Coturnix japonica: one gene and its partner. The protein of the gene in region 2 interacts with the protein of the main gene of each other region in a biochemical or structural test. Links are inferred from orthologs where the notes say so. Each region holds a gene or a part of one and is shown on either strand. Other genes may lie near its edges.

What was found.
Region 1: the proteins of BNIP2 (region 2) and ARHGAP1 form a complex in vitro, tested with the Homo sapiens proteins (2 studies listed by BioGRID). The link is inferred for Coturnix japonica from reciprocal best matches to the Homo sapiens genes BNIP2 and ARHGAP1.

Annotation. Positions count from the first base shown.
Region 1 is NC_029520.1:20,940,013-20,944,267, reverse strand, and holds the start of ARHGAP1 (rho GTPase-activating protein 1), read right to left. Parts: upstream 2,803-4,255; 5' UTR 2,700-2,802; exon of another isoform or gene 2,618-2,699; intron 2,591-2,617; exon of another isoform or gene 2,404-2,590; intron 1,189-2,403; exon of another isoform or gene 465-1,188; intron 1-464. UniProt on the Homo sapiens protein: GTPase activator for the Rho, Rac and Cdc42 proteins, converting them to the putatively inactive GDP-bound state. Cdc42 seems to be the preferred substrate.
Region 2 is NC_029525.1:4,468,484-4,471,409, forward strand, and holds part of BNIP2 (BCL2/adenovirus E1B 19 kDa protein-interacting protein 2), read left to right. Parts: coding exon 1-86; intron 87-200; coding exon 201-299; intron 300-1,883; coding exon 1,884-1,919; intron 1,920-2,926.

The sequences.
Region 1 (4,255 bases), on a different chromosome or scaffold from region 2:
AGCCAGCAGGCAGCAAGCCAAGAGGAACTGTAGGAACACAAAATGATACCTTACATCAGCAAGACTCCCTGTAACAGTGCTGCTCCGACAGGCTTGTGCTTGTTTTGCCTTACGAGGGGAGCAAAGAGCTAACAGATGATCTGAGGAGGCACACTGACTTTGTGTGGAAAGAAGATAATTACAGTAAAGCCATTTCCTTTAGCAGAATGGAGGGGACAAGAATATATTGCATCTTCCATCCCTAGAGCTTGACTGTGTATCCATCCAAATTAAAAGATCAAGCCCTGAAGACATGACCTGCAAGAGCCCAAGCACTGGAAGGTGTCACAGCCATGTTCAGGGCAACACTCAAGACCACGCTAGGTGTATTTTGACATAAAAGGAAATGGAACAGTTACCATTTGTCCCTTCCCCCCAGACTACTCCAGAAGCTTACCTCCTGTCCTCCCTTATCTCTTACTCACCACTTTACAACCAGTTTTCGCTTCTCTCAGGCTCCCAGAGGGCAAGGGGCCTTGCTAAGCAAATGAAATTAGATTCCCGAAATATGAAAGAGCAAGATGCATCTGGGCAGTGGATGGTCAAGGCTGTACGGCAAACACACAGGGTCTGACCACTGCAGCCAAGCAGAGGCCCAAGCAAGGCCCTTCCCTGCCCTCCTGCAAGGACTGAGAGCTGCCTGACCTCTCTGCTCTCAGAAGAGCAGAGAGCAAGAAATCAGGTTCTTCTGAACCATGAGCTCATGCCAGAACCACGCAGCAGCAGGGCCAAATGACAAGCAACTCCCCACCCCTAGCAACTGCTCTGATTTCTATGGTAACGCGAGGCACTGATCCCTATGACTCAGTGAGCTGAAATCATTCCCACTGCAGCTCAGCAGCCCCACCGCCCAGCCCTGCACAAGGCATGATTAATGCAGCTCTCAAGCACTCCTCACTCCAGTGGGCAGAGGCCCTACCTACCTTCAGCTGCTGCCAGCCACTGACCCAGGGAGATGCCCTCTACACCAAGCTCTTGAGGATGCCCTGTATAACAGTGCCCCCTAAGCAGTCTTGATGCCCGTAAGGACCAAATCCAAACCATCCCAAAGAAAAGCGATAGTACTGCCACCAGGCCAGCAAGACACCAAGTTTCCCTCCTTCTCACTACAAGGACCACAACTTGGCTTCAGGGACAACTGGCAGCACACCACCAGTGCTATAAGTGTTGGCTATTTGACAGCACTGGCAGACTTCCCCTTTGGCACGCTCCTACAATTAGTGCTGGTGTGGCACCATGAGGCAGGAGGAGGTCACCGGGACTGTCTACAGTTCCACACCAGGCAGAGAACCCAGAGAAGACCTCTTAGATTTCAGGTTCTGCTTGTGAAGCCCCAGGGACCTTCAGAGGGCTTTCTACAGAACTTCCCCTGCCCTTTCCCACTGGTGCTAAAGACAGAAGCACACAGTCTCTCGCATCAGAGCGATTCAGAAAAACACAGCGTTCTATGTGTCCAGGAACTGATGGGCACTGAGAAGATCCGGAGGTGAGAGCTGAGAGGTAAGAAACTAAGCGTGGAACTGAAACCAGGACAGCCCTTCTGTTTAGATCCTCACAACTCCACATGCTTCGTTTTCTGACAGTGACTGCACGCGATTTTTTCCACCTCCTCAAAACGAGCCACAAGCTGGACCTGCCGCTGACTGGGACGGCCATCCTGCATTAGTATAAGGGCAAAACAGCTGTCAGACAACAGCACTTCACCAGACATAACACGGTCTAAGAACGTCACATTTAGCAGAGAAATAGCATGGCAAGACGCAAAGCATACACCCTGCACAGCCAATCAAAATACAAGCACAATGATGATCCCAGATTTAAAAAGTTAAAGGCCTACTTCAACATTTCCAAACAAAAGAACCACACTTGGCATTAGGAGCACTTCTCCAAAGAGCCAACTACTTCCATTCCTCCCAAGTGCTTTCTGCTCCTGTCCGGGCCGCTCTCAGCACTCGCTGAGCCACGTGCTTTGCTCTCCAGCCAAAGAAAAAGGCCATTTTTGCTATGAGAGCTGCGGTGCAGAACAGCACGTTGTGCAGGAGGGAAAGCTCAGCCCTGTACAACACAACCTTCACACCGCTTCTGAGCGGGACGCTGCTTACACACAACCCTGCTGCACTGCACTGGCACACCAGAAAGGAGCCCGGTACCCCCTAACAAAGCAACGTGCAACCAAAAAGCCGCCCCGCTCCGGTGCTGCCGTTATTTTTCTGCCCCTGCTGCCACCTGCAGCTCCCGCCGGTTTCACTTCAACAGCAGAAACGTTCTGTATTTCCGTACACACCAAACAATTCCTGCACCGCGCTACAGCCCGCACAGCAAACACCGCCCAGTAATGAAAACACGAGGGATAACAACTCTTACAAGGTACGGCCCACGGGAGGGCTCCTCTCCGCACTGCACAGCAGCAGTCACTCAGTCACAGACCTCAGGCTCTCCCGACTCCACAACACAAAGCCCCGAGGCCGATTCTCTCCGTGCACCCGGCCATGCAAGCAGCCCGTTCCAGGCTCCCGAGCGGGGCCACTTCCCGCCCAGCCGTCCGGCTCCTCCCCTTCCCCAGCAGCCCGGCCCGCACCGTACGTGCCCGCTGACACCCGGCCTGCAGGCCCCGCTGCTCCGAGCACAGCCGTGTCGCCACCCCCCTCCGCCTCCGGTACCTGCGGCCTCCTCCCGCCCGGCCCCTCCGGCATCCGCCTCCCGCCGGAAGCGCTGCCCGTCGCCGGGGAAACACCGCCCCGCCCTCCGCGGTTCTCCGGTGCCTTCCGCCCTGTGGCCCGGAGCTGGAGGCGGCTGAGCCCCCGCTGGTACGTGCCTGCGGCCTCGGCGAGCCGCCCGCTGCAGGACCGAGCCCTCCACGGGCGGTAGAAATCCTGCCCAGCTGCCCTCTGCGGTGAGGGGAGACTTTGCCCACCTTCTGTCGTTAAATAAATGAAGTCATAGAGTGATGGTTTTCCTGCGGAGCCCTGGGATGGCTGGGTAGTGGCCTCTTTCCCCGAGGTTTGTGCTCTGACCCAGCAACAGCCGGTTAATTCACCCAGCGTGATTCTGTGTTTGTGCAGGCGATTCCTACTTCTTCAGGATGCGGCCCGACAAAACCAGAGTCCTTGACGTCCCCTGTTGAAGCCCAGAGGCTGCTGCCAAATGCTTCCATAGGCTGCCAGGAGAGGAAAGCACTTCTCCCGTACATGAGCCGTGGCAAGCCAAAGTGCCAGGGACTGAGAATGAGCACCTCAAGGCCATCTCAAACATCAAAGCCAGCAGCAGGTGCAGGGAAGAAATGGACAAGGGTGTGGGTTGTGGATCCACAGCAGAAAATTAGAGATGGGGCAAAAAGAGGCACATTCAGGAGACCTGGATCTGTCCTTTTCCTCATGTTGGGTTCATCTCGGTGTTTGCATGGGCATGTGGGCCAGTGATGCCAGAACAGCTGGGCAGGAAGCCCAGCAACGCAGTCCTGAAGAACAATTGTAGTTACTTGCAGGAAAGAAAGCAACATTTCCAAAGTGTCTACATTGGCATCTGAGAACATTAAAAGTTGCTTTCATTTCTTACACTACTAGTAGCATACTACAGTGAGCACAGTGAATTTTCACTGTCCCCAGCTGAGGAGTTCCTTACCTGCCCAGGTAAGGATTTACAGTTCACTTCAGTACGCTCAGAAGATTTTTGCCTCTCTCTTCCTTTCTCCCGATCTTTTTTCTCATGTTCTTGCTTCCTCTCTGCCACTTTTCTGCTCCTCCGTCATAAAGCCTACAGATGGCACAACCAGCACTACAGCCCAGGTATTCCCACTGCTCCATCTTCTTTAGTGACCATTTGCCATTTGAGATGAATAAAATAGTGCTGAATAAAACTGATGCCTTGTCAGGAAGAAAATTTTTTTTCTGAAGGCCTAATAAGAAAAGATCAACAAAACCGGCCCTAACAGAGTCTTTCCGACTTGCACATGTAGCACAAATGCTGCTTTCATTTACTGCCTCCACAGATTTAGCCTTCATCTCCATTCTGCCCCTCTCCAACAGCTGCATTTCCCCAGGAGGCTTTGTTTAGAGGCCTGCGTTCTGTGAGCTTTTAATGTCTACTGTACAACAGGAAATATGGCATCATGTGAGAACGATCAATAGCACTGCTCCCTTTTGGGGTGCTACAAAGACAGCAGTGTGGCAATCTGAGATGTCAGATGTTCATTTTTTTCCTCCATAAACTTTAATGG
Region 2 (2,926 bases):
TTAAGGAAGAATCTGAAGTCATTAATCATAGTTCATCCTTCTTGGTTCATCAGAACGCTTCTGGCCATCACAAAACCTTTTATTAGGTAATGATATGGATGCTGTTTTTCTTTATAAAAGTTTAAGTCTTTAACTGTTTAAATATTGACCTAATGAATACCTTTTAAGTTGTAACCGTACCCTGCATTTCTTCTTCACAGCTCAAAATTCAGTCAGAAAATTAGGTATGTCTTTACCCTGGCAGAACTAGCTGAACTCATCCCCATGGAATACGTTGGCATCCCAGAATGCATAAAACAGTACGTCTTAACATTCAAATGTGTTCTATGTTGACATGTTTAGGAAGCGCTGTTTAATATATTTAGTGATTGGTTTGAATGTAATACTTGATATGTTAAGTAACTGCCATTTCTAGGAGGAATTGCTGAACTACAGTTTTAATATCTAATCGAACAGAAGGAATGCTAATGCACAAGGACTTTCGTGTATAGTGTCTCACATAATCAGCAGTTTATGATGTATCTACTCTTCTGCAGATTAGGCCTTGCTGCAGTTCTTCTACTCGCTGTATGCTAAATGGGCTTGAGTAAGAAATTCTGTGCATTTCTGTTGGGCTTATTTGTGATATCTTCACCGTTGATGCTAAACTGCACTACAAATTAAGAAGTGAAATACCACTTGGGTAGGAATTTCATTTGAAAAAAGCTGTGGATAAAAGTGCTTGAATCTGTACCCACAGTACTTCTGAAACTGCTTTGGCAGAGTGGGGAAGGCAGTATCCAGTGTCCTTGATTTTCTTTTTTCCTTCTGCTCTTCCTTCCTTTCAGGTCCTTGCCATATAATATCCATCTAATGTCAGCACAACTCTGCTGTCAGATGTGGTAATGACACTTGAATCTGTGGATGCAGTGATAAAGAGAAATCATAAACTTCTGTTTTGAAAAGCTAGATGGGAATATTAATAATATTAATAATTCTGTTAGTAAATTAATTGGAAGGTGTAACATGCAGAGTCCATGGGGTATGTGCCGCAGTAGGTGATCACAGATGTGATGGCTAATGGAGAACTCTATGAAGGAAGATGGTGTAGTATTGCTTTGGGCAGTTGGATGAACTGACTGCTGGGTGCTGCAATATACATTGAGCTGGTGTTAGTTGTGAAATTTATTTATTTATTTATTTATTTATTGCTCTATATAGCATAGAGCAAATGCAGTTTTTTTGTTGAGGGCGAAAGATGTGACAGTTGGAGCAGCTTTGTGCTATTTTGGGAATATTTTCATGGGACTTTTTGAAGGGTATGTTAGGGAAGTCCAGGCTGTCATTCCTAGACTTACACAGCTACTTTCTGTACTAAAGAATTGCTTGGGTTGGAAGGGACATTAAAGCCCATCGAGCTACAACACCCTGCTGTGGGCTGGTTGCCACACACTGCATTGGGTTGCCTAGGGCCCCATTCAGCCTTGTCTCCAGGGATGGAGTGTCCGCAGCTTTTCTGGGCAACCTGATTCAGTCATCAGAGGTCAGCCAAGCTTATTCTTTATAGTAGTTAATTCTCAGACTTCTGTGTTTGATATCTGGTTTTAAACTATTTAAAAATACAAATTTTAAACTTTAGTGATGGCTAAATAACATACAGGAAGTTGTTCTGGGTCAATATGCTGCAGTAATTAAATTGTGATAACAATTGATGATGTTGAAGGTGCAAAACTTTTTTTTTTTTTTTTTTTTTTTTTTTTTTTTTTTTTTTTTTTTTTTTTTTTCTTTTTCCATTTTAAAACTTGGTATGTTTCCACAAATTATATTTACACTGATACCAGTTTGTAGCTTCTATTGAATTTGGCCTTTGTATATTTACTGAAATCAAACTTTTCCCCACTAAGGTATGAAGAAGAAAAGTTTAGAAAGAAACAAACAAGGTATATTCATGTTTTGATGAAGGTTGCATCTAGATAAGACTATTTGCACTGCAACTAACTCCCAGATGATTGGCTTGTGTAAAGGAATAAGCATTTGTAAATATAAACGAGCACTAGTGACCTTGTTCTTATGCATGGAGTAACATCAGAAAACCCACGTATTTGTAAATAGTCTCTACTTTTAAATGTGATTCTGAGCTTTAAGGGGTGTGTGTGGATTCTTCACATCTTCAAGAGGCAAAAGCATGCTTCTGTATGAACTGATTGAATTGTTTCACTGTTCTAACAAGTGATGTCTGAAGAGTTGTTTTTAGGTGCTAAGCTGTAGTACGCAGCAGAGGCACAACTGTGGAACAAGTTCTAATCCTGTATTTAGTTTCATATTAACTACCTTTTTTAACTTGCTTAGATGCAATTTAATGTTTTTAGTGCTGTTTGTATTTGCAGTGCATATATTCCTTAGTAACAGTCACTGGATTTTCACTTTGCAAGCTTTCAGTCTCTTGCTAACCATTCAGGCTCTCTTAGTAGCTGTGATAATTTTTTTTCTCTTTTTGCTTTTACTTTTTCCTGTATATCTAACAGATGTACTAGAATGTTCTGCTATTAGCTTCACCTGATTTGGCTACCATTCTGTGTGTGTAACTGTTGAGGGAAGCTTCTTGTCTAACTTGGGTAATGAACAAAGAAACAGTGAAATGAAAGCTAAAAAAAAATTCTTTCTGAAAGCTTGCATGTGAAGCCACTCCACTAGGAATTACTCCAATTAAGAGGATCTTGCGGTGTTATAGCCTTAAGTTCTGAGAAAGCCAAACTTAAGAACCCCATTCAGTATACATTGAACAGCAGTATTACCTGCTTTTGTCCAGCACGCGTGATTTGCATTGCAAGGCCCATTGTATTCAGACTATGAACCTGAGGCATTCAAGCAGTAACATATAAACTTGGTAATCTGGAGGAAAAGTAGCACTCCTTAGTGTACCTGTCAATGTCAACACTTACTACCA